Linked DNA regions of Arabidopsis thaliana. The protein of the gene in region 2 interacts with the protein of the main gene of each other region in a pairwise test. Each region holds a gene or a part of one and is shown on either strand. Other genes may lie near its edges.

Region 1 (7,149 bases), on a different chromosome or scaffold from region 2:
AGAGAACGATTTAGGAACAATAACAGCTCCGAAATGCGAAGCAATAGAAACTTGAATCTAACCTTCTTCTTTGAGGAGAATCCGCCTGCAAAACGAAGTAATTACCTCAAATTTCTCGAAGATCAAGAAGAACACAGAGACTTAGTCGTGGAAGCTTACCATTGCCGAAGAAACAGAGGTCGCGATCGAGACGGAGAGAATTAGGGTTTTAGTGAGAGCAATAAAGCGTAAAATCAGTCTTTCTTTTCCCCCTTGTCTACAGATGAATTATTCAATAAAATTTTATACTATTACAAGAGTCAATAATTGCATGTAGCAAGACTCACGTTTCTTATGGTGTCTGCAACAACAAAAGAAAATAACAATAATCGTAATCAGTCCCGGATTGATATTTCCGGTCTGCGGTCTGGTTCGGTTTAATACCGCTAATTAAATATTTTGATCTGTCTAAGTGTCCATGAATCTTCGGTTTGGTTCGGGTAAACAGAACCGATAGGCACATCTAATCTTAACATTAAAAGTCGAAGCAGAAATTTTGTTTTGAACGCAGTTACACAGCATCATTATCCGATTTTGAAAAAGAAAACCGAGAAAAATAGAATATCCTCAAATTATTTTGCCTCTTCACTCACTCACGATCTCTACATTTTGCACCCCAACAAATATTTGACGACAATCACAAAAGAATGTATAAAAAAGAAACAACACAGTTAAATGTACAACAACTCAAACAACACTTTCAGCTAATATTATTCAGGATCAAAAGAAACCCCAAAACAAATGCTGAAATTTACATTGAACATTCACATTACGTGGTTAAAGTGTCAGGAAGAGCCATGGAATGAGCTCCAATGATCTTACCACCAACATCTGGGAAGGTCTCGTAATCAGGAAGAGGGCTTACTTTACCATCAACGTCTACTTGTAGAGGATACTTTATTAAGTGACCTTGTAGCTCTGAGAATTTCGGGTCTATGAATCTTTTCCAGTTTTCTTCAGAGATTGTGTTCACCTTCTTCAGACATTCCAGATCTGATGGCTCCACAAACTCATCTCCAGTTTTGCCTAAATGCTCTGCCCATAGTGACATTCTGTATCCATACACCTGTGTAGATAGATAGAGATATCATCAAGCTCTTTATGTCTTACGAAGACTCAATATATATAATGGTTCAAGAATCTGGGAGTAGAAACACAAGTTCTCTCAAGTATCTAAGAACGTGATTTTTTTCGCAAGATCGAATGCTATCCCAAATTTCTTTACTGTTTTTAAATCCAGGATTCAGGAATTTGAAACTTTCCCCATGTAGATATAGAGACACTTTTGAGGTTTGGTTATGATATAGATGATGATGATGAAGATGTTAGGAGGAAGGCAAACCTGGCCACGTGGGTGTCTTCCCTTGTGAGCCCATGTATGATTAGGTTGGTATGCGCCCATGGCGATTTCAGTATCTTTGGTGCCTGCCATAGATCTTTGGTTGATATTAGCAGATCCCATGAGTACATACTCATCATCTACTATCATCCCTTTTGCGTGCACGTAAATCATGAAACGCTGGAAATTATAAGAATCTGATACCTGAAAAATGCAGTTAAAATGATCATAAAGAAATTGTTCCACTGATTACTACAGGAAACTTTATGTATGATTTATCTATCTGTAAGCTACAGTTTTTGTGAATGAAACATTCTTAGTCTTAGAAGTTTGAAGATTATACCACACTGCCATTGGTGGCTGGCATATCATCTGGAAGCTGCTCTCGTTTACCAAGGCAGTAAAAGTTAAGGTAATCGAGAGGATGAGCATCTGATTGCACCGCTTTCAGTTCTTTTGCTATAACATCATACATCATCTGCATAGTTTGGCTCTACGAAATGAAAAGAACAGAAGATGTTTAGCAGAATGTAAGTTTCTCTTTTAAAGAAATGGAACAACCTATTTTGGTATTGGCACTTATCTTACACTCAGCTAAACAAAGTTACCTGCCAATATAGAATTTCTTGCACAGGGCCAGACTTTGGGTCGCCTTCAGGCCACAATGGTATGACAACATATACGGCAAATCTTTCCTTAGCTCTGATTTTGCTAACAATCTTTAGTGCCAACTCCATAGGAATAAGATTGTCAGCTCCTGCTCATACAAGACGAACACAGAATCAGAAAATCCGCGGGTGAAAAAGTTACTAAGCTTTATTTAATACAGTTCAGGTAACTGTGAGGTGAAAATAGAGCCACAAATACAAAACTAGTAACTGAGAACAATTCTAGACTTCATGCTGTCTGCAATGTGAGTATTTTATTTCCTAGTCTAAGAACTGTACTCAAAGATCAAAATGCACCTGCGTCTCTATAAGAAGGCCAAGCATAAGAAGAACCCAGGAAATACTGATTCTCGATATATATGAAATGCTGAGCAGATCTGATTGTCTGGATGTATGCAGTCTGGATGCTTTTATCTACAACAAGACGCTTGGCACATTCCAGATGCTGCAGTTAAATTATATTGAAGACTTTGTAAGTAGTGCAATTTCTATACCATGTGGTGGCTTATAAAGAGAAATTTCATTGAATAAACGGTGATTCTTCAAGGAAGATAATTAATAATAGCAAATAAGTTGATTGACCAACCTGGGCCTCAGCCTCATCTTCATATTTTGGAAATCCTTTCACGGATCCTGAGTCGATAGAACGGAATATCTAGAAGTCAAAGAAACCGCGTGGTTAGATCAAATCAACAACATTTGTTAACATGAAATAAGTATAGTTTGGAAGGAATCAACAAGGACCTGAACATGCCAGTTCTCTGGATCATCTTCTTTAGAAACCCAAACACATGGATCGTCCTCTGGAATTATCGAAGTACCATCCTTCAGAAATTTAAACACTGGACTCAGAATCCATGATATACGCCCTATCCGGATCAAAGCATCATCTTGCCAGTGAGTTTTCCCCTTTAAACGTAAGCTAAACTCCTTCCATCGTGTTGCCTTTCTCCATCGCTGCTCAAAGTTTATGAGAACATCATATGCCGCAGGCCCATCTATCCTACAGTGCAAATCGTGCCAAGGTTGTCTTGGGGCCTTGGTACCAGCCTGAGGAAGTAAAAACAGAGTATGTATCAGTAATAACTAAAGAATTAGGATTCAAGCTTGATAACAGCCGGTATATAATAATAAACTTACTGGAAATGTAGGATTGTGGAAATCATCCTTAAATACAGTGTCAAGATCGTGGAGTATCCTATGCTCAGGTGTGTCATAACGGCCATCACAAAGATCTAGACCTCCAATAAAAGCGGTGACCTTGCGATTATTACCAACAGCCTGAGTGTCTACAAGAACACACTTTTGATGGTGCGTGAAGAGAGTTCCAACAACCTGGCCATTAAACATCAGATATCAAAAAAGATATCCCTTGGAAAGATAATAACTATGCCAAAGCCGAAATTGACATAACATTTTGATACCCACATGTTGAAAGAGCCTTTAACTAAACAATCGAGAAACAATGGTGCGACATGGATTAGAGTCAGAACATCTCTTATAATTGAAAGTAAGCATCCACATTAACTAATTTCCAACTTTGCAATAACCCTCATCATGCGGGACTAAACCCCCTTAGCTAAAACATATCAACATCATACCAAACAAAAACTGTCATGATATATATAGAAGAGCTAGGACTTGCCTGTTGTTTGAACAACCCAAGCTTACTGCTGGCATACCGGGGTGACAAAACGCATATCACAGAAGAATGCTTGAAGAACTTCCTAGTCTCCTCATCATGTGTCCCCATAACTCCAGGCTGCAAAATAAATGTCACACAACATCTTAATGTCAAAAACACCAAATAACCTGTCAAAACATAAATTATCCTCACCAGAAACTCCAATTAACATTACAACTAGTAATCCAAAAGCTCAAAAATAGCAATACGAATCCAAAGAACTTGTGAAAACACTAACCGTTTTTATCCCAAACTTATCATGAGAAGTCTTATCATCCCATACAAGTAGCAAAACTCGAACACCTTCCTGGGATTTGTATTTGAGCAATTCCCCAAGCGTCATATCCTTATCTCTTGGAACTTTTGTTTCCCTAACAAGCTTAATCTTATGGAAGATAGACCAACCAACAATGTAAATCATATGGTGAGCCTCAGATATAGCATAACATATATCTTCCCAACACTTCCCATGCTCATAAACTTTCCCGTTATCTAACCCAATCGCCGGCAACGTTCCGTCCATAACATGAGCGTCCTGGTAAAGCCTCACCTGACTTCCTTTCCTCACAGGGAAATAAGTCCGTCTAACACCCCTACGCTCCGGATCTCCGGCGATTCCACATCGGTAGCTATGGATCTGGTCAAACGGAGTAAATTTCATATCGATGAAAATAGCAGTTTCTGCCTTAGGCGGTTTTCCCGAAGCACCGAGTACAGGAAACCAACCAGAAATGCGTTCTCCCGATGCGATGTCTCGAACCGGGATCTTAGCCGTGCCAATGATTTGAGCACCGAAAACATCGTCGTCTTTGACCTGGAACTCGAGATAAGCAAACGGATGCGCTATAGAAATGTTGAATTTCTCGTCCCAAAGAGGCTCTTGTGAGTTTTTCAAAACACGTGTTCGAGCTAGAGTCGCTTGAGGAACGACGACGGTGACGTAAGGATCGCTGGTGATAACCTTACGGTGGCTACGGATGTTTTTATCACCGAATTCGCCTTTATCTCTGGGATCGACATCATCGGTATCGGTGGGTCTAGCACAGGCGTTACAGGCGGTGAAGAGACGGCGCAAATGTTCTGAGAACATATCCATGTTAGGTAACCTCCTAGCCTTAACAATTTTCAAATCGAGGTCACCGTGTAGAAGCATAACGTCCTCCGATACTTTCTCCGCCATGGTTACAACAATTCAGGTGGAAGGAAACGAAGAAGAAGAAGAAGAAAAGCTAACAAAAACCGAAAACCCTAACGAACAGGGCTCGGTTGTTGTTGCTGCTGCAGAAACCAAAGATGAATTTGAAAAGTTTTTTTTTTTTTTTTCTTTAGAAAACGAAAGATATTTATTATTTTTAGGTGAAATGATTTGAGAGAGAAAGACAAGCAAGGAAGGAGAAGAGAGGACAGGTGGAGGGACGACGTGATGGGAGTTGTTTGCTCACTGACGACATTATTCCGTGTAGATCTCAGAGGAGTCGTTGCACACGTTCTTCATCTAGCTTCTTTAATCACTGAACTTTACTTAATTAGTTTACAAAATCTACTGATGACGAATTTGATTTTAGAACGTTGTACCAATAGCTTTGTAGACGTAAAGAAATAAAAAGCTAATACAATAATGCTAAAGTTGACAATGATGATGTGAAGAGTTCTTCTCTTTTTCTGGACAAATAATTAAGAAGACAAGTCAAAAACCAGCTATGCGAATCTGGTGATATTAACCCACCACATCCATTGGATAGTTTTCCAACATTTGCTTCATTTATTATATACAAAATAAAATTTGGAAAAATGATTAATTATCACATAAATAAAAATCCCAAAAACCATTCTTTAATGGTGTGGATAAAACAAGAAATAAACCCATATTGGAAAGTCGAGCTGTTTAAACTTTTAAAGTGGTCACACGTCAATCGATAATTGTCGGAAACAAGGAAAAAAGGCATTCTCGATTCGTATCTACTCAATGAAGCAACAGCAGTAACATAAAGAATCCTTTCATGGATTACAAATGAACCGTTTCACATGTTTACTTTCTGAAATAGAACAACACAGCAAAAAGCCAAAAACTAAACCATACGAAAAGCCCAAAGTCTGATATGTTTTCGTTTTTCTATGTTTATACTATTTTCTTTTTGGGGGATGAGGATTGGATGGATTTATGGATCAGTTTGGAATAATATACAACTCACGAAAAAAGGATCTATTAAGAAAACCTTGTTCACAAAGTTATCCACAGAAGATCACTTTGAAACGGTCCCTTCCTTTTCTCAGCTTTCACTGTCTCTTAAATCATGACCTGCGGGTTACACGATATCCCAAGTGGCTAAGTTCGTGAGCTAGTAAGACTTGTAAACCCCAATGGTTCCAAGAGATTTAGACGTTACCTAAAACATGGATTGCCAATTCTCACTCTCTTTCAAGGGTTGCCTTTATCATCCTTACTGGCATCTTTTTTTCCAGTCTTGTCCTTTTTATCGCCCTCATGTGGGGTATACTGACCCGTTGATGACGGTGAATAACCGGGAAGTGTTGGCGAGTAGCCTGCGCTTGGGCTGTAGTCTGGGCTTGCTCCTGAGCTGTATGGGCTGAGACAGATTTAATAACAACAACCCAGTTAAACTTTTTGCGGAATTCAATTGAGATGGATGCATTACAACAGATCCAAGATTTTCAAGCGGGTAAAAGTCAAACCTGCTGGGACTGTATGTTGGACTTGAAGGTGAATAAGATGGAGATGTGGGTGAGTATGATGGAGATGTCGGGCTGCAGAGTAAATTTTTAATAAGAGTTAACGATTAGAGAAGATGACACAATATCACCACAACAGATAAGAGAAGCTTCATAGAAAGTGTAAAAATTAAGATATTACTACTTACCTGTAGTTGGGAGATGTAGGACTGTAGGGGCTAGCTGGTGATAGTCTTGCATTGCTAGGAGAGTAAGCTATAGATGGGCTATATTTAGCAGACTGAGGGTTGTAGCTTGGAGACGTAGGACCGTAGCTTGGTGATGTTGGACTGTAACTTGGTGAAGTAGGGCTGTAGCCAGGAGATGTGGGGCTATATGCGGGTGAAGTAGGGCTGTAAGACGGAGATGTTGGGCTGTAAGATGGTGAAGTAGGGCTGTAAGAAGGCGATGTTGGGCTGTAAGAAGGTGAAGTTGGGCTGTAAGAAGGAGAGGTTGGGCTGTATGCTGGTGAAGTTGGGCTGTAAGCAGGTGAAGTCGGGCTGTAAGCAGGCGAAGTCGGGCTGTAACTTGGGGAAGTAGGACTGTAGCTCGGAGATGTCGGGCTGTAGCTTGGCGACGTTGGGCTATAGCTTGGAGACGTTGGGCTGTAGCTCGGAGAGGTAGGAGAATAGGAAGGACTTGTAGGAGAATAAGCAGGGCTTGTTGGGCTATAGCCAGGAGAACTGGGA
Region 2 (4,435 bases):
TTGTATCACTACATTCGTCATTTTCTTACTACTGTATGAGGTCCCTTTAGAAACTTTCTCGATATCAAATCTGATCTACTGGGTTTGTGACACTCAGCTCTTCCCGAGAGGTTCAAAACTCCATCAATTCTTTGAATGGTGCAGTAGTATCATCATTTCTCTTCTTCGCATAACAATTTATTCGATTAGTACTTCTTACAGTAAATGATCAAACATCTAACACATGTTTTACTTTCGTAATTAAAGGATTTGGATGGTAGGCAGTCTCAGAGGCTGAGGCTAGGCCACCAAGAGGCCAATTTTGAGCGGCCACACCTCTTCACGTTCTCATAAAAAATGCAGATTCTGAAGGGTAAGACTCTCAATCCTCAGCCAAGTTCGAGCATTTCCTATATGATTCATAATTGTCAAGTAACAAACGACTAAGTATGTTGAATCTTGAATGTAACAGTTTCTGTGAGCCTTTGAGGCATATGGGGTTAATGGACAATGGCGGTTTCAGAGAGTAACTAAAACTTACTGCTGGTGCACGCTAGGCTTTATCCGCCTGAGATGTATGAAGACATAAAGGAATGGTCTTTTCTAGAAAGATAATGATTGCGTTAAAGCAGAGACATGTGTTTCTCCAAAATCCTGCTTATTCACTGAGCATCTTGAGGAGGACGTAAACAAGACCAAGAACATGGCCCCATGGTGTTGTTATTCTCTAAGGAAACTAACTTTAGTACTAGTATTAATGTAAACACAACGCATAAGAACCTCTTTGATTTCATTGATTATAATTCCAATCACTCGTTTAAAAGCGAAAGAAAAAACAATTACACCGAAGGAAAATTCACAAAAGAGCAAGTGGAAAACACAAATATAAGAAAGGGAAATGAAAACTGCAAGTGACTGATTTAGATTTGTACAGAGAGATCACAACTTCATTTATTCTTGAGAAATCTGGTTTGATGTGTTTAGACGTTGGCAGCACTTCTGAATGATCCAAGAGACTTAGAACCTGAAGCTCTCAGAACGAATTGGTGGTAGAATGCAGCTATCGCAGCTCCAATGAATGGTCCAACCCAAAATATCCACTGTTTGTAATCACCAAAATTTCAAAACATTATTCCCTTGTAAAAATGAAAAATATAGTTGAATGTAATGGAGAAACGTTGAGGTCTTACGTGGTCATCCCATGGCTTGCTCTTGTTGTAGATTACGGCAGCTCCGAAACTCCTTGCCGGGTTAATTCCGGTTCCGGTAATGGGAATGGTAGCCAAATGTACCATGAACACGGCAAATCCGATTGGAAGTGGCGCCAACACCTTTTATTTCATCAAAATTCAAATTTATTAGTATGATTGAAATCAAATGTTGGTTTGGTTTGCTTTGGTTCCGGTTTTGAGTCGGTTAACCATATTGAAGATTAATAGCACTACATATGTGACTCACCGGAACGTGGGAGTCTCTGGCACTACGTTTGGGGTCAGTGGCAGAGAAGACGGTGTAGACAAGAACGAAAGTACCAATGATCTCTGCGGCTAGACCGGTCCCTGTGCTGTAGCCATCGGCTAGAGAGTTGGCTCCACCTCCGTAACGGGTGTAGTAAGAGCTTTGGAAGGCTTTGACAAAACCAACTCCACAAATCGCACCCAAACACTGAGCGATTATGTACAATAGGGCCCTAGGTAACGACACTTTACGTGCCAAGAATAGCCCAAATGTCACCGCTGGGTTAATGTGACCACCTAAGGAAACAAAAAGAGTTGACAATGTTACCAGTACTTGAGAATTAAGGTACAACAAGCAATTAATTAACCGGTTTCAATTCTGGTTAAGACAGGGTTAGTCAGTTGCTTAAAATAATTACTAGGCTTAGATTAGATATATATCATTCGGATAAGAACCGATTTGATCATGACCCTTATTAAATGTTTTATAAACAAATCATTTTCGTCTTTTAAACCTAAGATTTTAAACCGATTAAATAGTAATGTCAACCAAGCAATATTTTTCCTTGCAAAATAATTAATTTCGAATAAACAAACCAAAACCATACCATATAATTTTTACTTGTCTAAATTTTGAGTTTGCAAGTTGTACTTACATAAGTAAAACTTATTCAGCTTATTCGGTTTAATTGTAATTCTAATACTCAAAAAGTGTATAATCTTAATCTAAACCAAACCAAAATCAAGATTAAAGAAGGATCATACCAGAGATACCGGCGGTGCAGTAGACGAGGATGAAGATCATACCACCAAAGGCCCAAGCGATACCGAGGATTCCAACTCCGCCGCAATCTACGCCACCGGCATCAGTATCGGACTGAATCTTGTAACCGATGACTGTCAAAACGGTGATGTATAAGAAGAGGAGAGTGGCTACGAACTCTGCGATAACTGCTCTGTAGAAAGACCACTTCTTTAGCTCCGCTCCATCAATAAACGGAGCTGGTGGCGGATCTTGATAGTCTCTTGTCTGAAATCCTTCTCCGGGAACGGCTTCCACATCCTTTGCCATAGTTAACTTCTTCTTCTTTCAAACAATAGCTTTTTTTTCTTTTGCTTCTCTGTTGGAGTGGTTAGTGAGAAGAACATGTGCTCTGTTTTATAGTGAGAGCTCTCCTTCTTGTTAATTTGTTTGTATACTTTTTTATTGCTTTATCTTTTAAAAAATATTTTTAGTATTTTTGCCAACGTTATATGTTTTTTTGGTTTTTTGTGTATTGAGGTTTTTTTTTGGAATGAAAGTTTGTATTTTCAATGAAAAAATTGGATATAAAAGTATACGAGTGAGTTATGATTATTATTATTATGAGGGAAGTAGCTTTGACAAAATGATTATGAACTAGCTGTCCTGAAATAAATTTTGAACCAATTCTATTTAATGATTGCTTGATATATCAATATCATACATAGTTACTAATACGTAAAGACAAGAACCCTAGTTTAATTTCAGACTTAGAGTTTTTCAATCGTTGAAATTTGAAAAATTCAAATAAGTTAGCCAGTAAATTTCTTTAAAATTTGATTCGAGTTTATTTTAGATCCTAAATTAGAATAGTTTATTCTATTTAACGTTATAGTTTGCACCAAGTCCATGACAAAAAGATTGATCCAAATCTATTGAACATGCGTCTATAAATACATGATAATGATATGGGATTAGCTAGCTTATGATATCATAAAACAAGACTTTATATCCACTCATATAAACTTGCATAGTTTTATCTCTCGTAGCAATAGGAAGTATCAATCAGTGGTGATGGTGGAGAGCTATCAGAACCACAACTTTGAAATAATTTATTAGTTTTTATGTCAATCAAATTTTTATATGTTTTTCTGGTAAATAATGGAGGTTTTTTTTGTTTACTTTAACTTAGCCTCGCCGCCCCCATCACCTAAATGTCATTTTCTTTAGGACCGACCCAATATACTATATCATCAATATGGTGCTCTCTTCTTTTTGTCGTATAATATCATAGCCTGTCGATTTTTCAGATTTAAAAAGCCACAGTTTTTGTATGCCAAATCATTTTAAAATAACTTACGTCCACTTTTTTTTTTTATCGAATCAGCATTTACATTCTTGAAAACACATAACAAAACTCCAAAACCTTATTTTGCTCCAACGAAGCATGGCTAAGTTTCTTCACTCCAAATCCAACTAATCATGCATGGTTATATTCGAGTGTCTCATTGTATATATAGAGAACATTTTTCTTGTTCACCAAAGTCAAAACACTTTGTTTTCAAAATAGATAGATATATGGTCATTCTCTTACATTATAAACATTTTTGTAGTCTAGAAGGTCTAGTTTTCTATCACCAACATATGTTATTAAGTATGTTTGAGGTGTCATAAAACAAAACCCTACTTGAAGATGTTAGAGCCGGAACTCAAAATTATGACACAATATTAAAGAAGCATAAACTATTTCGTTCACAAACTTTCATTTCAAACTTAATTGACGATAAGTAAATTGATTCGTCGTATATCTTATCACACATAACTCAAATTAGCATTTAAGTTGATATTACTAACATAAAGTAACCAAAGCCTAAACGAACCCTTTTTCATAATTGTTGTGTTGGTATATCACTCTCTAAAACCAGGGTGTAAAGTTATGGTGCCGTTTTGTGGGGTGGGTCGAGATTCCACTGAGGTTAAAATCATATGGTCTGTGTTGGCAAAAGGTGACACGTGAATGGGTGGCGCGCGTGACTAACCGACCCGATCCCTCCGACAAACGTATCGTCACCGTCCAATCCATCTCAGCATATAGCCGTTTGTTCGCTCAACCACTCACATAATGCCACGTTTGTTGTCCCCACCAATCATTTGCATTTTCTCTTCATATCCAAAATTTCATATCTTTTGCGAAAATTGCTGACAATTAGACTGAAAACGAAAATATAACAAAACAATAAATCCCAATAAAAATGAC

Evidence for each region. Proteins that work in one complex are often made in the same cells at the same time.
Region 1: the proteins of PIP2A (region 2) and PLDDELTA come close enough for resonance energy transfer, tested with the Arabidopsis thaliana proteins (one study listed by BioGRID).

Annotation. Positions count from the first base shown.
Region 1 is NC_003075.7:16,954,966-16,962,114, forward strand, and holds PLDDELTA (phospholipase D delta), read right to left. Parts: upstream 5,206-7,149; 5' UTR 4,911-5,205; coding exon 3,969-4,910; intron 3,809-3,968; coding exon 3,659-3,808; intron 3,382-3,658; coding exon 3,187-3,381; intron 3,097-3,186; coding exon 2,791-3,096; intron 2,702-2,790; coding exon 2,633-2,701; intron 2,492-2,632; coding exon 2,344-2,491; intron 2,136-2,343; coding exon 1,987-2,135; intron 1,872-1,986; coding exon 1,722-1,871; coding exon of another isoform or gene 1,716-1,721; exon of another isoform or gene 1,583-1,715; coding exon 1,382-1,582; intron 1,106-1,381; coding exon 809-1,105; 3' UTR 553-808; downstream 1-552. Other genes in the region: AT4G35785 (RNA-binding (RRM/RBD/RNP motifs) family protein), read right to left, coding at 63-85, 160-162; NRPB1 (RNA polymerase II large subunit), read right to left, coding at 6,150-6,318, 6,425-6,496, 6,610-7,149. UniProt on the Arabidopsis thaliana protein: Hydrolyzes glycerol-phospholipids at the terminal phosphodiesteric bond to generate phosphatidic acids (PA).
Region 2 is NC_003074.8:19,802,947-19,807,381, forward strand, and holds PIP2A (plasma membrane intrinsic protein 2A), read right to left. Parts: upstream 2,785-4,435; 5' UTR 2,509-2,784; coding exon 2,202-2,508; intron 1,734-2,201; coding exon 1,438-1,733; intron 1,311-1,437; coding exon 1,170-1,310; intron 1,080-1,169; coding exon 960-1,079; 3' UTR 527-959; downstream 1-526. UniProt on the Arabidopsis thaliana protein: Water channel required to facilitate the transport of water across cell membrane. Probably involved in root water uptake. Its function is impaired by Hg(2+).